4 linked regions of the Arabidopsis thaliana genome follow. The protein of the gene in region 4 interacts with the protein of the main gene of each other region in a pairwise test. Each region holds a gene or a part of one and is shown on either strand. Other genes may lie near its edges. The genes, in order: SCL21, OFP13, ACR6 and ZML2.

What was found.
Region 1: the proteins of ZML2 (region 4) and SCL21 interact in binary tests that used the Arabidopsis thaliana proteins (3 or more experiments, as listed by UniProt).
Region 2: the proteins of ZML2 (region 4) and OFP13 interact in binary tests that used the Arabidopsis thaliana proteins (3 or more experiments, as listed by UniProt).
Region 3: the proteins of ZML2 (region 4) and ACR6 interact in binary tests that used the Arabidopsis thaliana proteins (3 or more experiments, as listed by UniProt).

What each region holds. Positions count from the first base shown.
Region 1 is NC_003071.7:1,719,810-1,724,318, reverse strand, and holds SCL21 (SCARECROW-like 21), read left to right. Parts: upstream 1-1,714; 5' UTR 1,715-1,728; coding exon of another isoform or gene 1,729-1,819; 5' UTR 1,820-2,038; intron 2,039-2,419; 5' UTR 2,420-2,502; coding exon 2,503-3,744; 3' UTR 3,745-3,958; downstream 3,959-4,509. Other genes in the region: AT2G04910 (Carbohydrate-binding X8 domain superfamily protein), read left to right, coding at 1-339; AT2G04900 (uncharacterized protein), read right to left, coding at 713-812, 1,286-1,329, 1,414-1,494, 1,579-1,649, 1,729-1,819; ZAP1 (zinc-dependent activator protein-1), read right to left, coding at 4,100-4,509. UniProt on the Arabidopsis thaliana protein: Probable transcription factor involved in plant development.
Region 2 is NC_003076.8:1,397,779-1,401,309, forward strand, and holds OFP13 (ovate family protein 13), read left to right. Parts: upstream 1-1,616; 5' UTR 1,617-1,906; coding exon 1,907-2,689; 3' UTR 2,690-3,006; downstream 3,007-3,531. UniProt on the Arabidopsis thaliana protein: Transcriptional repressor that regulates multiple aspects of plant growth and development through the regulation of BEL1-LIKE (BLH) and KNOX TALE (KNAT) homeodomain transcription factors.
Region 3 is NC_003074.8:328,313-333,598, forward strand, and holds ACR6 (ACT domain repeat 6), read left to right. Parts: upstream 1-1,786; coding exon 1,787-1,797; intron 1,798-1,824; exon of another isoform or gene 1,825-1,912; coding exon 1,913-1,993; intron 1,994-2,138; coding exon 2,139-2,184; intron 2,185-2,286; coding exon 2,287-2,469; intron 2,470-2,556; coding exon 2,557-3,147; coding exon of another isoform or gene 3,148-3,198; exon of another isoform or gene 3,199-3,212; coding exon 3,213-3,317; coding exon of another isoform or gene 3,318-3,329; exon of another isoform or gene 3,330-3,401; coding exon of another isoform or gene 3,402-3,427; coding exon 3,428-3,754; 3' UTR 3,755-3,810; coding exon of another isoform or gene 3,811-3,841; 3' UTR 3,842-4,199; coding exon of another isoform or gene 4,200-4,610; 3' UTR 4,611-4,750; downstream 4,751-5,286. Other genes in the region: AT3G01980 (NAD(P)-binding Rossmann-fold superfamily protein), read right to left, coding at 1-306, 430-521; ROXY1 (Thioredoxin superfamily protein), read right to left, coding at 4,200-4,610. UniProt on the Arabidopsis thaliana protein: May bind amino acids.
Region 4 is NC_003070.9:19,130,211-19,136,158, forward strand, and holds ZML2 (ZIM-LIKE 2), read left to right. Parts: upstream 1-2,010; 5' UTR 2,011-2,456; intron 2,457-2,944; 5' UTR 2,945-2,965; coding exon 2,966-3,271; intron 3,272-3,444; coding exon 3,445-3,537; intron 3,538-3,626; coding exon 3,627-3,760; intron 3,761-3,868; coding exon 3,869-4,000; intron 4,001-4,589; coding exon 4,590-4,695; intron 4,696-4,808; coding exon 4,809-4,877; intron 4,878-4,973; coding exon 4,974-5,042; 3' UTR 5,043-5,420; downstream 5,421-5,948. Other genes in the region: MNS1 (alpha-mannosidase 1), read right to left, coding at 267-441, 582-647, 768-880, 1,140-1,301, 1,382-1,429, 1,764-1,922. UniProt on the Arabidopsis thaliana protein: Transcriptional activator that specifically binds 5'-GATA-3' or 5'-GAT-3' motifs within gene promoters.

The sequences.
Region 1 (4,509 bases), on a different chromosome or scaffold from region 4:
GGACAATGGTGTGTAGCCGATGGACAGATACCAGATAATGTGATACAAGCAGCCGTAGACTGGGCTTGTCAAACAGGTGGAGCAGACTGCAGTACGATTCAGCCTAACCAGCCTTGCTTCTTGCCCAACACTGTCAAGGACCATGCCTCTGTTGTCTTCAATAACTATTACCAGCGTTATAAGCGCAACGGCGGTTCCTGTAACTTCAACAGCACTGCATTTATCACACAAACCGACCCTAGTAAGCAACTTTATCTAAACCCTTTTTGTTACAGTTATTTAAGCTCTTTGATCAATCAAAATCTTGAACCATCTGTTTCTGATTATCTCATGATTTGATAGGTCACGATTCGTGCCATTTTGAGTATGTGCCATTTTGAGTATGTCCAATGATTCAAAGGAAAGACCAAGATGAAATGAAAGATGATGAATTATACTACCGGTGAACAATATAAACAAATCTTTGTTGGAACTTGGAAGTTCTTGTAATGTAGAATTTTGATAAATTGTATGGTAATAAGATTACATTAATATGGTCGTCATTTACATAATCCCTTTAGCAACAAACTGAACAAGTAAAGGAAGATGCTTAATGGTTGTCGACACAGAATTGTTATTAAGCAATCTCTTAGGTAAACAAAAAAAAACAGTGAGTTCATATGTAGGATAAGCTTGACCACAAACTTGACAATATAGATGGTTATGAGATTGTTTAGAAAAGTAAAGTTGCCCATGCAGCAATGAACGCAAAGCCTCCGAATGGTGCCAATGTCGAAAACTTTCTGTCCTCCCGCAGCGCTACCATATAACACCTGCAACAACATTTCAACACACATGAAACTTCTCACATACTCATACCCGGAAATAGACTATTGAACACAAAACTAAAGTTATCTACTAAGCATCTAAAATATAGTTACTTCTCCAAAGAGCATACCTTCACATATCAAAGGAAGTACAAAGGGGACAAATACCATTCATTAACTCAAATACAAAGACCTATGCTATTAAATAAGTGATACAATGGTTTCCAAATGCTTCAGAGTTGGACACATGTCGAAATCGATAAAATCTCCCTAGCCACGAAGAATTGTGGCAAGTATTGCTACTGCTAGAGATTAGATATGAATTCTAGAAAGTCCAAATCATATCTAAATAGCTCAAATATCCATGAATGCACTACTATAACCTCAATGACAAGACATCCAACAAACATCTAGCACAAAAGCTCTACCATACACATCTCAAACTGAAGAATCTGAGAAACAAAAAGATAACAACTTACGTGCCGGAAAAGGCTACAATTCCAGCAGTCAACAAGCCACCAAACTAAGCAAGAAAAAGATATGTCAGCTCCATCAACTCTCAAAGGACAAAGATTAGAGAAACAGAGTACAAGAAGAGAAAGCTAACAATGTTGGGATATTTGGTGCTAGGAGCAGAAACAAGAGCAGCAGTGTGAACCAAATGGTAAAGTGAAGCCGTTTGCCACACCTGAACAACAACAAAAAAACCTAAACTTTCTCACAGAAATCCAACAAAGTATCGAATTTTCCAACAATTTTCAAGAATCTAAACCTGTTTGTAAGAAGGGTTCTCTGGTTTAAAGACATGAGCACCATAAGTTCCCAAACCAAGAGCAGCCATACCTAAACCAATTCTATCCGAATCAGTACCTTTCCTCACAAGATCAAAATCAAAAGATCATTACTTTATCTTAAATCTCACCGGAAATAGCGGCGACTTTGTGCCACATCCGAGGATCCATCGATCGTCGTCCTCTGATGTCTCTTAGATTGCTTCTTACACTATTTCCCATTTGACCAGAGACTTTAAGCGAGATGTGTCAAGTCGGTGATCGGGTCTTATTCGGTTTAAGCCTAAAACGACGTCGTATGTGATGTGTTATTTTCTTCACTACAGCAACTAAAAAGATTCTTCCTTTTGCTTCAGCTGCGAGCTTTGGTTGGATCTCTCACTTGCAAAACCAAATCCCTTATCGACTTCCACCGAAAGATCACTTCTTAACCTACACAAGGTTTGTTTTTCTCATAAAAATCAAACCTTTATTCTCTTTTCTTGATGATTTTGATGCTCTGCTTCTTCTTATCCACAAAACATGAAAACATTTCTTCTTTGATAAGTTTGATGTTGGTTTGTTGTAAATGATTGCTCTTTCTAGCAAGCTTTACTCTAAAGTGTGAAGAGAAATTGTCAAATTAGTTTGTTTAGGATTGGAACTCTTGTATGCCTTGTTTATTGATGAAGTAGTTCATGGCTGACGTAGATTCATAGAGTCATGAGTTGATTTCAATGATACTAGAGTTCTTGTTAGAGTTTTGATCTCCATGGATATTATTGTTCAATATTGATATCTAATTCAGTCTCTGATTAATGACTTTGTCTATGAATTCTACAGGTGTTTGTTATGAAGATCAGATAAATAAAAGGTCATTTGAGGATAATGGTTGATGTTCAAAGATTCTTACTTGCTTATTTGTGATGGACAATGTAAGAGGTTCAATAATGTTGCAGCCACTGCCAGAGATAGCTGAGAGTATCGATGATGCTATCTGCCATGAACTCTCCATGTGGCCTGATGATGCTAAAGATTTGTTATTGATAGTGGAGGCAATATCAAGGGGAGACTTGAAGTTGGTACTTGTTGCTTGTGCAAAAGCTGTTTCTGAGAATAATCTTCTAATGGCACGATGGTGTATGGGTGAGTTGCGCGGTATGGTTTCGATTTCTGGTGAGCCAATCCAGAGATTGGGAGCTTATATGTTAGAAGGGCTTGTTGCTAGGCTTGCTGCTTCTGGTAGTTCGATATATAAGTCTCTCCAGTCCAGAGAACCAGAGAGTTATGAATTTTTATCTTATGTGTATGTTCTGCATGAGGTTTGTCCATATTTCAAGTTTGGATACATGTCAGCGAATGGTGCGATTGCAGAAGCAATGAAGGATGAAGAGAGGATTCACATTATTGACTTCCAAATTGGACAAGGGAGCCAGTGGATAGCACTTATCCAGGCTTTTGCAGCTAGGCCTGGTGGGGCTCCAAATATTCGAATTACCGGAGTTGGTGATGGATCTGTCTTGGTTACAGTCAAGAAGAGACTAGAGAAACTTGCAAAGAAGTTTGATGTTCCATTCAGGTTCAATGCGGTTTCAAGGCCAAGTTGTGAAGTTGAAGTGGAAAATCTTGATGTCCGAGATGGCGAAGCCCTTGGAGTGAACTTTGCTTACATGCTGCATCATTTGCCAGATGAGAGTGTAAGCATGGAAAACCACAGGGACCGGTTGCTGAGGATGGTGAAGAGTCTATCACCTAAAGTAGTCACTCTTGTGGAACAAGAATGCAACACGAACACTTCCCCTTTCCTTCCTAGGTTCCTTGAGACATTAAGTTATTACACGGCAATGTTCGAATCTATCGATGTTATGCTTCCGAGAAATCACAAGGAAAGGATCAATATCGAGCAGCACTGCATGGCAAGGGATGTCGTCAACATCATAGCTTGTGAAGGAGCCGAGAGGATCGAAAGACACGAGCTTCTCGGGAAATGGAAGTCAAGGTTTTCCATGGCGGGTTTTGAGCCATACCCCTTGAGCTCAATCATTTCAGCCACCATTAGAGCCCTCTTGAGAGATTACAGCAACGGGTATGCGATTGAAGAAAGAGATGGTGCTCTGTACCTTGGTTGGATGGACCGAATCTTGGTCTCATCTTGTGCATGGAAGTGAAAGAATAAACGTCTCCAAGAATGTAATGCAAAAGACAGAACTGGAAGTAATAGATAGTTTTGTCTCATAACCATTAATAAGGTTGAATCAAATCATATACATCCCCATGCTACAACTATTACACAGGCTCCATCAACAAAGAAGGGCTCTTGTTGTGTTACCTTCTCTTCCTGTAACTCTTATTTGAACCAAATGGAAGTGGTTACATAAAGGTATTAAAGCATACTATTCCATTAAACACTAATCTAAATCTGGTCCCGCCTGAACAACAACTGTACAGTCTATAACCATATCGCCTGTACTAATCTATGTTAAAACAGCCATATAAATTACCACTCGGTACAACACTGAATGCTTAGCTTTGGGCAGGCTCTGTCTTGGGTTTTTGTTCCTCGCTCTCCAGGGTTCCTACTGCCTTCTCTTGACAAACAGTGGTTTTATCATCTGACTTTGCTTCCGGCTTGGCGTGATTGGCTGCGTGATCTTTGTTTGCATCTGATCTCTCTTTTATTTCCTCCTTCAGCTTCTCATCCAAAACTGGACCTTGATCAAGACTTTTCTCAAAGCCATTAGTCTTCGTTTTCTTTCTTAAGTGATCTTCGACATGCTGGTCTTTTGTAATGGATTGAAGAGTTGAGCTCTGTGGAGTCTTGTTGGCATCTCCTTCTTTATCATCAACTTCCGAGTCCAGCATGTTATTATGAGTAACAACTCTTCCTGGAGGCATATCGTGGTCGTGTTTTCCCTCGTAAGTTGTTATAAGCA
Region 2 (3,531 bases), on a different chromosome or scaffold from region 4:
TGCCCTCTTTAATTCCTCACATGAGTTTTGCACACAATCTTTCTCTCTCTTTTTCTTATTCTATGTTCCCATATTTATCCCACAAACGTTGATCCAATATCTTACGCAAATTAAGGCAAAACAGGAAATTTTTGCAAAAGAGAAAGATATGGAGGTGTTGGGTAAATAAAGTTGAAAATGTACGAAAATAATGATGCATTTATTTCACAACAATGGGTTTCAACATCAGATTGCTTCTGTTTAAATCTTTTACTACTTTCAGTTTTATATCTCTGATAAACTCTATAATATTGACTGATTCCTAAAGGACACTGTCTCAGGATCTATCCCCTACATTCTTGTTCTACCTTGATGGATCATATATTTTACCTTAGTAAAGAAAATCGTCCAAGAAATTCATCATTAATTAAAAACATACATATAACATAGTCCTTCTTCGAATATAAGACTTCAATTCCTCAAAAAAAATTAAACGAAATAAATTATTTTTAAATATATATTCAAGAAACTGATGTTCATCGAGTTTAATTATTCAGTTGAATTACAATTCTTACTTTTAGAAATTTGTATTGCGACCAAGAAGAAACATTCTTTAAGCTCAAAGCTTCATATAATTTACACATACGTAATTTATAGATAACACGTTGACCGAGAGTATTAGAAGCTCACAGTGCTTATAGGAAAGTCAAAACTGACTGCATCAGTACGATTTTTACGTGTTCGTTTATGGATTATATAATACAAAATAGCTTATACATCAGTTTTAAAAAAATTAAACAAATTAATTAAGATGTAAAACACTATTAAAGTCGTAAAGAGAGAGTAATTAAAAATGAGAAGAAGATTTGACAAGACGAGCCAATAGACAAGAATGTAGTACCGTCAATCAACCTTTATAAAGTAGTAGTAGTATATAAAATTACTAAATGTTTATTGGGATTTGTTTTTCTGCAACATTTTCTTGTAAGCAATCGTTTTTAATGCTTTGTGTTCTGCACAGTGCTTTGTCATTGGCTCGGGACTAACATTTTTTCTAGTATTATTTTATTTTATTTTAATTAAAATATTTAATTTTTCTTGTCTTCAACCAAATTGAATGCTACTGCTGTGTCTTACTATACTTGTTCATGAGTATAATATTATCATCTTAAATTTAGATAACAAAGACAAAATAAAAATTCAAATTCCCATAGAGCCATTATATCGTGTTTGCATGAAACTTTTGTTAGTTAAAAAATACAAATTCAACCTCTCCAACAAGGCAATAACAACCCATGGAGCTAATAATATGTAAACTGCATGAGGATAAGTGTTTTCGTCACACAAGAAGATTGTCAATTTTTCAAAACAGCAAAATATTTGTAAAAAACATAATTCTTCCACTCATGTGTATATCAATAAAATCACAACGACAAAAACATTATTGTAAAATGTAGCAATAAACTATTTGTAAAAATAATATATCTCCATTATAAAAACATTTTTGTAAAATTGATCAATTATTAGATCGAATAGTGTAGAAAAAACCAATATTAAAAATTTGGATTGTAGCAAATCAAATATTGGAAAAAACTATTGAAATCCCGGTTGAACAGAAAACGAATCGAAAAAGCTAACCACAAAGCAAAACAAAAACAAACTATCAACTTCAATCATCGTAATTTTTATAGTTAAGACTTTAGACTAAATAAGTAAAAGCACTTCAAATAACTAACCAGAAAAAAATGGAAAATTAACAACAAATAGAAAAATATCCCAAAATTAAATAGACACATGACCTGACCCCACCAGCTCTCTCTTCTCTCCCCATATATCGCATTCCCTCCAACTCCTTCCTCTTCCATTAATTACTAAACCCAAACCCAACCAAAGATCTTCACAAAGAAAAAAACAATTGGTGGTATCAATGGGGAAGAAGAAGATGAAACTCTCTTCTCTGTTCAAAGGCGGAGCCGGAGGATTACTAGCGGTTCCTCTCTGTTACAATGCCAAAACTCTTTCGTTCCGAGTCGGCGACGACATGATCAAGACGGTGAACTCTGTTTTCTTCGACCACCACCACAACAACAACAATGGAGGAGATTTGTTGGAAGCGGAGACGCCTGAGTCATGGTTTACTAACTCGTCCGAGACAGCGAGTCACTCAACCGAGTCGGATCAAGACCTTGACGCTGAGTCCTTAGAGATGGTGGTTCGTGGCGTTGTTAGATCGGAGCGGTTATTCTTCGATCCAGGAGTTACGAGTTCGATTCTGGAAGAGATTGAAGAGAAATCGAAATCGGATTTGAAATCGAAGGAAACGGTTGCGGTGGGAGAAGATCGGAGTACGCCGATTGAGGAGATTAGTGTCGCGGTGGCGATGGAATCCGAGGATCCGTACGGTGATTTCCGGCGATCGATGGAGGAGATGGTGACGAGTCACGGTGAGTTGGCTAAAGATTGGGAGAGCTTGGAATCGATGCTCGCTTGGTATTTGAGGATGAATGGGAGGAAGAGTCACGGCGTTATCGTCAGTGCTTTTGTTGATCTTCTCTCTGGACTCTCTGATTCCGGCGCCGGAATAACGTCGGCTTCGGTATCGGATTCGGCTCGTTATTCAACCGCCGTTTCGTCTTTGCCGTCGTCGCCGGTTTATTCGTTATCTCAAGGTCAGACGGAGATTCAAGAGGAAGAGAGACGGAGCTGTTAAAAATAAAAAAAGGCTTAAGATTCGGTTTTAAATTTTTTAATCTCCGGTTTTGTTTAGATTAATTAACCCTTTTTGGATTTTGTAAAAAGTAATTAGTGGTTAGAGGAAAAAGAACCATTAAATATATATCAAAAATATTTTTAGAGCCATTATTGTTGATTTATGTGTATAACAGTGCCTTTTGTCATAACTCGAAAGTTACACTATTTTTCCCCCAAAATTCATGAAACTCAGCGAAGTTTATGCCAACAGATTCAGAGAAATTTTGTATAACAGCCCCATTTTAAAAGGAAATATACATAAGAATAAATTCTGTGATACTTCTTTTTATTTAAGCTCTTTATTTTTTACTTCTTTTTTAGGTTTTAAAGGACATAGAATTATAATTTCTCATTTTTTTTGCAGGCATATTATATAGCCTTTCTCATTAGATGTAGGCATGTAGCTCCTTTGGCATCCATATTAAAAATTTTTTTGTCACAAATATTGGACCTTACATTTTTTTTCCCCAAATAAAATTTGGTATTACGAATTTTCGATGGTTACACAAGGACTACTACACTAACATAAACTGTAAGACTCATTAAATATCATGCTCGGATAATTCATGTATTAACATTAATAACATAGAGATTTTATTTATTGATTTGACTCTTAAAAGCATCATCACGTAAGATATTTAGCAAAACCCTTTTTGTGATATCCATGCTGGAGTTAAAATCTTGAAAATAAGCGTAATAGAAACACCCGTAGTGTATGTATAAATGTAATTGTCATGAACTTATGAGATTCAAGTTTTAAAAATACAGAAAAGGATAGTGTATTTACGAGGGTGCATTAAA
Region 3 (5,286 bases), on a different chromosome or scaffold from region 4:
ATGTCCTGCACCTTTCCTGCAAGAAAGAAAGATTGTTGAATAAAGGAATGATCAACACACAAGAGCATCAAAGGCAGGGTAGTGAAAAACAAGAAGCAAATTAAACCTTGGTAGGTATAAGAGTTGAGAAAAGCATCGAAATGGCCGGAAAGTTCCCATGCCTTTTGGACAGCGGCATGAAAAGCAACTTCAGAGTCAGATTCCATGTCGAGTGCTATAACATCGGCAGGGAAGGCTCCCTCAATGGAATCTCTAATCTTGTCTACAATGCTCCTTAGGGAACCCTCATTTCCCATCATTACCAACCTAGCAACAGTACATTGCATTTTTTGAAGGTTAACTATAGACACCAAAGTCAACCACAACACAAATCGGGGCTAGAAGAAGAAACACAGGATAGGAGGAAAGAAGACAAAATGAGAGACTCACTTGCAACCGTGTTTGGCTAGATGGAAAGCGATGTTTCGGGACACCTCGTCGCCGTTGGATGTCATCAACACTCTCTTCGCCGGATTTTCCATTTTGCCAAAGTAACTCTTTATAAAACAATTCAGCAGATTCAACAAGACTTAAGGGAGGGAGGGAGTGAGATTGATTCGATCGCCAATTCTAAATAACTATAAAGAGTGGCTGCAAAAGCTCTTACCGGAACTGTGTCTGTGTGTTACCAAAACGGCGAAACAAAGCAAATAATTAATGCCTAACCACATGATCCACCACGTTCTGTTGTTACCTTCTTTAATTTGTAGATAGAAGAAGATGGTGATTGATAACGGAGATGTATTTTTTTCTTTAATAAAAAGCCCACTTCAAGGCCCAGATCCATTTCTGTACTTTGTAGGTTTTCCAACTTTCCCGGCGCCGGAAGCAAGCGTAAGTTATCACTGTTCCCCAACCAAATTCCATCATATCCTATTATCCTACTACTAATGGATCCATCTCCAAGATTCCTAATTTCACTTTGCTACAAACTTATTTCGTGTTTTTGGTTTATAATTAATAGCCGTTGTTGGTTATGAATATGTAAGCATAAAAGGCATTTGGGAGCTCCAGACAGACAATGAATCATCAACATCAGGTACTCTGTCTTTCGTTTATGTTTCTGTTCCATTCTTTTGAAATATATAGAGGAGGAACTTGTTATTAGCTAGTCCATTGATCAACACACAAAGAGTGAGAATGAAAGCAATTCCTCCAACCAAAAGGATGCTTTCCCTTATTGATTTAGTTGGACCAATATATAAAGAGAACAAAGGAGGGTGTTGGTAGGTAACAAAAGATTCTAGGTGGTGGGAGGGTAGTGGATTTTTGAAAACCGTGTGTTGACTTAATGAAAGAGGTGTAGAGTAATGGGATTGTGAGAGTGTTAAATAATAAAAGACTAGGATACGAAATCATTGTGACATGTCAATTTTTCAAGTGGGTGGTGGAATCCGCAACAAAATATAAAATAAGAAAAATGCTTTGCTTGCTTGCTTGCTCTACTTTGCCTTCTTTTTGCAACCAACATGACGTTATGCTGGAAAGGAATCAAATTGTTACTTGGTCATGCACCTGTGAACGTTACGGAGAGGTCTACCTCAAGATAACGAATGATCTATTATACTAGTAAATACCACATCTTGCTTGAGAAGGAGAATATAATCCCCTTTATGATCATCAAATTGACCCCAAATCTTCACCCGACTTTTGGTAGTATTCGAACAATTATAACAGAATCTAAAAGTTGCTGTGCCCGTGCCACGTCATCTCTAAGAATCTTTAGTGGCACGTGCTCGATCAACTAATGAAAACAAGGTTCGGTTCCGGTGGCCTACCATTTTTATCCTCCTTCAACTTCCCTCTCCCTCTCTCTTTTAGGAATTTTCCTCAGAAATTGGAGGACTCACACTCTTCTGGGTTTCTGCTGCAGCCAAATCACCAAGGAGATACATACTACAACCATGGATGATGATGAATATGCCAAGCTCATCAGGAGAATGAATCCTCCCAGGTTTTTCTCTTTCTCTCCATACTCTTTTATTGTTTTCTAGGTCCTCTGTTTCTCCATGCTCCGTTTGTGAGCCTCTATACCCTTGTAAAGATTCCAGCTGCTAAAACATTCATCTTTATTTATGTATGTTTCATGGTGGATACAGAGTTGTAATAGACAACAACGCAAGCGACGATGCCACTGTTATTCAGGTAAATAAATCTGTCTCTTCAAATTGTTCAAGTGGTTCTGTACCAAACAAAGAGATTTTGAGAAAACAGAGTTCCCTGTTTGTTTGTGGTGCTAAATAAAAGGTTGATAGTGTGAACAAACATGGGACTCTATTGGAAGTAGTACAAGTGCTCACTGATATGAATCTTGTGATCAAGAAAGCTTACATCTCTTCCGATGGAGGTTGGTTCATGGACGTTTTCAAAGTCATCGACCAAGATGGCAATAAGATCAGAGACACTCAAGTCCTTGACTATATCCAAAAGGTTTCTAATGTATTTCATCACTTTTTTTCTTTCATTTTCAACAGGTTTTTTTCTTTGTGTAAAACGTTTGTTGAATTCATTGCGCAGAGGATAGAGAGCAACGCTGGGTGGTTCATTCCACCTTTGAGAAGCTCAGTTGGTGTAATGCCCACTGACGAATACACATCCATTGAGCTCGCTGGAACTGACAGACCCGGTCTCTTGTCTGAAGTATCTGCTGTTCTCACAGACCTTCACTGCAACGTTGTGAACGCTGAGATATGGACTCACAACACCAGAGCTGCAGCGGTTATTCATGTCACGGACAATTCAACTCATTCTGCCATTACTGACCCGATTCGCCTTTCCACCATCAAGGAGCTGCTGTGCAATGTAGTGAGGACAAACAGCGGCTCAAGAGCTGCGAAAACAGTCTTCTCTTGTTCTGATACACACAGGGAGAGACGGTTGCATCAGATCATGTTTGATGATAGGGACTACGAGGGAGTCAAAAGAGCAAGGACATCGGCGTCAAGGCCCAGTGTCACACTAATGAACATTGAGAAGGATTATACCGTTGTTACCATGAGGTCCAAAGATAGACCAAAGCTTGTGTTTGACGTAGTCTGTACTTTGACTGATATGCAGTATGTGGTGTTCCATGGCATGGTCAGCACAGAACCAGTGGAGGCTTATCAGGTAACTACTCAACGGCCGTCTGTTGGGATCTCTCTTCTAACAATAATATGAGTGTTTTGCTGCAGGAATTTTACATCCGTCATGTGGATGGACTTCCCATAAACTCAGAAGCAGAGCAAGAACGTGTCATACAATGTCTGGAAGCAGCCATTGAGAGGAGAGCATCGGAGGTAACCAATTAGGAATGTGAAAATTCTCTGTCTTGGCTCAAATTACATTCTGTTCTGCATCGATTTCTGATATACTCAAGACAGATTGTGCATATGAAACATACTTTCAGGGTTTAGAGCTGGAATTATCAGCAGAAGACCGAGTTGGTCTTCTCTCAGACATAACCAGAACATTCCGAGAGAACAGCTTAACCATTGTGAGAGCAGAGATATCAACGCGAGAGGGTAAGGCTAAAGACACGTTCTACGTTACAGACGTGACTGGAAACCCGGTTGAATCAAAAATCGTGGAGTCAATCAGACAACAGATAGGAGTAAGCAAGCTGAAGGTGAAGAAGAAGGAGAAGGAGCATTGCTCTGTTCTTGGTACAAGCAGGCCTTCGCACGAAACAACTACAATGGGGTATTTGCTAAGTAACATCTTCAAACCCAAGTAGCTTCAAGCTTCACCTATCTCACTCATAGTCATAGAGTGTGTGTGTGCTTTGTATAGGTTAGACAGAGTAGGGCATCATTTAAGCTGATCGTAGCGATCCCCTCTCAACAAGTCCCTTGTGTGTAAATTTGTGTGAACAAAATAACAGGAACTGCCTTTGAATAGATACGGCGTCAGTTAATACCGTTGATTAATGGATCCAGGGGACATTAATAAAGATGCAAAGTGTTTACTATTATGATTTAATGAGAGCATTCGAAAGATCAATAAGAGATGAAGAAGAGGAAGACAGAGAAAGGTGAGCTTAAAACAACTCTCTCTCTAATTACAAACTATAATCTAAAACCTGTCATTACAGCCATTGACTAGTTTCCTAATCTTCCTCCACCACATTCTCTTACAAGAAAACTTCAAATAGAAAAGAAAAAAGAAAGCAGAGGAAGGGATCAGAGCCAGAGAGCGCCGGCGTCTTTGAGAAGAGGAACGAGAGAGCCGTTTATGTGAGAAGCCATGACTCTGTCCATAGCTCCAACCAGTTTACCGCCGATGAAGACGACCGGGAGAGACCCTGGAGAAGAGGAGCCGGAGCAGCCGAGGAGACGAATGAGGGCTCGCTGGATGTCGCCGCCGTAGGGGTGGAGGTCGAGCTCGTGGACGGCGGGGCTGACGCCCATTCCTCTGAAGAGACCCTTCACGGCGTGGCACATGCAGCACGTGCTCACGCTGAAGATCACCACCGCGCTCTCAGAAGCCAGGGACTCTATACGAAGCAGACCAGTGTCAGCCACCATCCCCAAACCGCCGAATCCTAAGCTGCTCATCTTGTATGATCCCCACGATTCTGTCTGGTATTGCATCTTTGATATCTCTTCTCTTTCTCTTGTTACACTTTTGTTTGGAAAGAAACTAGATTAAACACGAATAAGAGAGAAAGAGGGATTGGCTAAAGTTTGTTGGTGAGAAGAGAGTGAGAGCCATGCAGAGTATTTATAGAGGCCTACTACACCTCTGAGTCTAACTCTGTTTTCCTCTAATTATTAGTATTATTGTTTCTTTCTTTATTATTTGTGTATAATAACATGACCTCTATTTACTTCTCCATGAAAAAAAGAAAAAAAGTAACAAAACATATGAATTAAAACCGATGACATCAAGATAGTGATTGCTGTTGAAAACAAACACCGATAATAGTTATCGGAATAATTTCATTTTTTTGTAAAAAAAAAAAAAAAGGCAAGGAGAGTTGAAGAACAGGCTTTTATCAGAAGGGAGTTGTTGGTAATAGACGGCTCCGTCTGTCCTTCTTGTCGGCTCTTACCGCTCTCACCATTAATTTTCTTACCACTTAATTCTCTCTTTTTCTTTCTTTGTATTTTCAGATACATGATCATAAAGTAAGAAACCATAATTTCCACGTAGATAAGCTCCCTCAATCTGTACAATATGGATTTTGGCAGGGTTTTTCTTTTATTCCATTCTACTCTGTAAAATATATAATTCCATACGACCGAGTAATCATCAATCCAGCAAATG
Region 4 (5,948 bases):
TTTTTATACGGGGTTGAATCATCTAAGAAAGTGGTCAGAACTTGGATTTAAGCTATCAAATAGACTCTAAGGAGTCCTTTAGAAACATAATCAGGAACCTAAGTCAACTACAGAACAAGTGCACAGAGTTTCAGGAGCCATTTTTTCTAGAAACGAATAAAGATTTGTATCCAATCATTGGATTCCAAGGTTAGGCTTTAAAAAGATCTACATGACACAAGATGACACAATACAACATACACGGCACTCAGTAATCTAGGACTCACCCCTGCCGCCCATGAAGGATTGTGAGCATTTCCATTTCTCAAGTTGATAATATTGTAAGGTATACCCGTTGGAGTATTCCATGCAGGCAATAATCTGTCTGCAATATCCTTAGCCTTTTCAAGGAACATTTTGTCCCCAGAAAGATCATACGCACTAAGAAGTCCGCCTACAACTCTGAAGGCAGATAAAGAAAAAGAATATAAGCAGATGCAATATCCGTTCCCCATCTTATGTCACCAACTGATAATCGCAAATAAACTGACTCTTCCTACGATAATTACAGAAAACAACCACAGTAAACCTGTTAAAGCCACCTTATGGTTGTCTCAAACATACTGGCGTCATAATCCTTGTCGAAATCCAATGAGCTTGCAACCCACCTGCAAATAAAAGACAATAAGCAAATGAAGATTAGCAAAGATGAAGAAGTAAAAAGTTGGATTTGCAACTGGGACGAAAACAGTTACATATGAATAAATGAAGAGCCTGCAATTACTCACTCTCTGGCTTTTTGAAACTGCTCATCTAGACCCATTATATAGAGTGTATCTAAAGAATCTACCATAGTTGCTCCAAGGCCACCAAAGCTATCAGTGCCATCTTTTGTCCGAGGCTGACAATAAAAAAAGGAAAGAAACAAGAATAGCTTCAGACCAATATTTTTTTTGCAGAGTTCAGGAAGAAAATAATCTTAGTTCTTAACAAAATCTTTGTAGGCCTGGTAACTTCAGATAAGCTCATAATAAAAGGCTCAACAGGATACTGGAAGAGCAGGCACTAAACGTCAAAATAAAATTTGATTCATAGAGTCCGTCGTAAACTAGATTTCGTATTCACAAGGGTGAAATGTATTTTGGAAAATAATTGTATACCTGAAGCTCATCTTTCCCCCATGCATACTTTTCATAAGAGCTCCAAGCATGGATCATTGCCTCTTTTACTTTCTGCCTTCGCTGTTTATCAACTGGATCTTCTGGGGCATCCTTCAGAGTCTTCAAAGGCTTATTGCCAACACCACCATTAAGCTCTTCTAACTAGCGGAAAATATAGTTAGTTAGCTAAAACATTAGAAAGACTATCTGAGCCTAGAGTGAGGGGAAAATATTAATCTTACCATCTGCTCCAACCGTGAAACTTCTTCATTTAGCTTAAAAACTTCAACCTGCAAGACAAAAAAAAGCAGGACAAGTGAGAGAATGATCACAAGAGAAATTGTTCACTTCCTTGACATTTTTCTTATTTTGGTTACATAGCTTCTTATAAACGAATACATGAATTGAGTCCAGAAGATATTAATTACAGCTCTTTTCTAGTAAATAAAACACCAACTGTCTTACTTATAGACCTTGAGCTATGAAGGCAATCAAACCATTCCAGGCCTAAACCATATAACCTACTTCACCAAAATTCGAATTGGCCTACCAATAAGCTATGATACAAGAACTATCTCCTACTCCTAGGCAGAGTCTAACCAGATTTCATTAGACAAAACATACCTCATGTTCTCGGGCAAGATTAATACGATCCCAGACAAGCATAGAAACAGAGACGAAGACAATGAAAAGCAAAGCCAAACGTCTCGGTCTTCTAAGATAATACGCAGGATTCAAATATTTCCATATCCCATAACCACTAATCGATCTACTTCTCGCCATCTCTCTTCTCAACCCACTCAACAAAAACAGAGACCAATTGAGAAATCAGTGTCCATGAAACAGAGCAAGACAAAAGTTAAAAGCTTTTAAATTTCTGATCCGAAAAGAGTAAGAAACCGAGAGAGAAATAAGTCTCTCAAAGAACAAAAGTTATAGATCCGATTTTAGTAGTTAGAAGGAGGAAGACGAAGAAAGAATTAAAAAACGAAACTTTACCCAAAAACCAAAAGAAAAGTATTTATTTATATCTCCGGCACTTTTGCTTATTTATTCTTTTGATGATAAAATAATCAATCGAGTCTCTTTAGCCCCCACTGGTTCGTCTCTTTCTTCGATTTCTCTTTCTATCTGGTTTCCATTTTCGTCTCGTTGGTGTTCTGGTGGGTTTGGTTTGTCTCTGTTCTTCTATTTGTGGCGTTATCCATCGGTTCAATTGTCATCTTCATCGTTTCCGTCGTGTTATTTGGTGTTTCTCGTTTGGGTCTTTCGAACATCTTTCATTCTTCTCTTTTTGGTGTTGCTCCCCACGAACAGGTAACATCATCTTAACTCTTATATTGGTTTCGTGTGTCGTAATGAGGAACCTATATTTCAATGGTTTTGGATGTCGCTTTGTTTCAGGATTTGCTTTTGTTTCTTAGGGTTTATTTTGTTTGTTGAAATTATAAGTGAGTTTGTGGAATTGGTATAATATGGTTTATGTAAGGCTTAGAGCGTGGAAATATTGAAACTTTGGATTGAATCTGATTGATGCAAATATGTTAGAAGTCTGTGTTAATCTCTTGAAAACAAGCATTGATCCATAAGGTTTCCTGAATTTATGTATAGTGTTAGTTAGAACTTATATGTAAGTTGCTCCAATGACCGAGGAAGTAAGGTTATATAGTATGTGAATCATGTTTTGCTTAGAGCTGATTTGATTTGTCTGGTCATCCATGAATCGTGCTTATGAAGATTAGGTGTTTTTGTTTGAAGTTTCCAGTTTTAATGTTAATTTGTTTTACTTTCACTGTTATCATTAGGTAGATTGATGAAAAGCAACCATGGATGACCTACATGGAAGCAATGCTCGAATGCACATTAGAGAAGCTCAAGATCCAATGCATGTGCAATTTGAACATCATGCTTTGCATCACATCCACAATGGAAGCGGTATGGTTGATGACCAGGCTGATGATGGCAATGCTGGTGGGATGAGTGAGGGTGTGGAAACAGACATTCCTTCTCACCCTGGAAATGTAACTGACAATCGTGGTGAAGTGGTCGACCGTGGTAGTGAACAAGGAGATCAGTTAACATTGTCTTTTCAGGGCCAAGTCTACGTTTTTGACAGTGTCTTGCCTGAGAAGGTGAGTTAAGTTGTTACTGAGTTGGTTCGTTGATTGTCTCATTCCATTAGAATTTATATTCTTACTCCAAGCCACATTTTAGCAAGTGGTTGAAGGATCTAGTTAGCTTTGAGTTTTTTCCATCTATTGATTCTAATGTGTGAGTGCCTCTTGCTATTCGACGCCTGTTGCAGGTTCAAGCTGTGCTTCTATTATTGGGTGGTCGTGAATTACCTCAGGCAGCCCCTCCTGGCCTAGGATCACCTCATCAGAACAACAGAGTATCGGTAATAAAATATATGATGGCATTTATGGGACATAAGTTCCCTTCCTTGATACATTGCTTGACTGACTGACTGACTAATCAATGAAACAGAGTTTACCTGGTACTCCTCAAAGGTTTAGTATTCCGCAGCGATTAGCTTCTTTGGTCAGATTTCGAGAGAAACGGAAAGGAAGGAATTTTGATAAGAAGATTCGGTATACAGTCCGCAAGGAGGTAGCTTTGAGGTACATTGATGTCTAAATCAACAACTTGGTCTAGTTATACTTCTTTTATGGTTGCTCTCCCAAAATTAAGGTTCGCATCTTGATTACTTTTTGTTTTCTGGTATACAGGATGCAACGCAATAAAGGTCAGTTCACATCTGCCAAGTCAAACAATGATGAAGCTGCATCTGCTGGATCTAGCTGGGGGTCGAATCAAACCTGGGCCATAGAAAGTAGTGAGGCTCAGCATCAAGAGATCTCGTAAGTTTAGAAATGCTTTGAAAGTAAACTGCGAGTTCCTGACATACTTTTTAACTTGAACCAACTTAACGTAGTTATTATGGGTTTGCTAAGCAACTTTAGAAGTTGTTTTTGCTTCCAACCTAATGTAGCATCTGACTTAGTTATTAAACTGAACCATCCTAATGTAGAGATGATAGGTTTATTAAGCATCTTAGATGTTGTTTTTGGTTTCAGAAACGTTGTAGAGGTACTAGAACTCTGAAACCTATCAATGATTCAATATCAAGACATACACATTGCATATGTAATATTTAACATGAGCATGGACCTATACGAATTGGTAACATTGAAGGACCAATACAGACAAAATATTATATAAAAGCTCTTCCATGCCTGAAGCAAAATGACTTCTGTGATAGATGATTGGTTAAGACAGGTTGTGATGACTAATATTGTATCCTGGAACTGAGAATTTTTATAATAACTTTGGAATAGACAATTGTCGTTTAAGTCTTTGTAGATTTGAGTTTTTCTTCTTGATAGCCTTACTTTAGTTGGTAAGAACATATCTGATTTTACTTCCTCTGAATGGCTTGATACCTGTAAGATGTCGGCACTGTGGAATTGGCGAGAAGTCAACTCCAATGATGCGACGTGGACCTGCCGGGCCAAGAACACTTTGCAATGCATGTGGACTTATGTGGGCAAACAAGGCAAGACAATACTTGCTTCTTAATTTGATCAACTCTCTTTATCTTGCTCATTTTGTAGCACTAGTGATTCGATGATTAGTCTGTCTAAATGAGGACGACATTTATACTTTCAGGGTGCTTTTAGGGACTTATCCAAAGCCTCTCCTCAAACAGCCCAGAATCTTCCTTTAAATAAGAATGAAGTAAGCAACATCATGTTTTGACCAAACAATTTGTTGTACGAAAAGGAATCCATTCGTCTTTATCATAACTTGTGCATGTCTGATCTATCTTTGCAGGATGCAAATCTTGAGACTGATCATCAAATAATGATAACAGTGGCCAATGACATAAGCAACTCACAGTGAGGACATGTTGGCTCTTGCCATTACAAGCAAGAGAAAGATCCCAACAGAGTTTGAATCGCCTCAGGTTCTGTAGCTTTATCATTCCCTTTGAAAGAATCTGACTCGATTTAGGTTATCAGGATTTGATCTATGACAATGTAATCTGAGTGATAATGATCTGCAATGTTTTGCTTCTTCTTTTTTTATGATTCAAAAATGCTTTATAGACTGTTGTTGCATTGGTCCATACTCTGATGTAACGTCTAGTTGCAGTCTGTGTTTTACCCTATTTTAAAGACAAACTAACTTTATTTAAGAACTCACCAAAAGAGTAGTCTCCTTATGACCACAGGGTTGTTTTGGAGACTTAGTAGCCTCATGTAAAGTGAACCATGTTCAATGCCTCATGCTTCTCTAAGTCAAGAAACAAAAAGAGGCTTGTGAATTGTGATATTATTAGCCAAAGGAACTTGCCAAAGGAACTTGCCAAAACAAGGAGACAAACTAAAATGGTTCAGTGCGAATGTGACTGCTCCTTTGTTTTCAGTGGCAAAGATTTTTACACAGAATTTTGCCTAAAAGACTTTCAAATATCCCTTAGATCAAAAAAAAAAAAAAAAAAAAAAGAGACTTTAAAATATCCCAATTTGTGAGAGATATTTTAGATTCCATTTTTGTTTTTATTTTAGCTTAATAGACAAAATCTTATTTCTTGCATTTTCTCTTCTAGTGAATTGTCTCATCTTATCATGAAAATCTGAAAATCTTCTCATAGTTTCATTTTTTAATAATATTTATATTGACTTTTTAGCATACCAGTCATTACATTTCAATTTTTCTGATAAACTACATTACAATGTTATTAGTTAATTTATGAGAGCTAAGCTTTGGAAATAAATGGTATAAAAGAATATTCTTATAATCTTT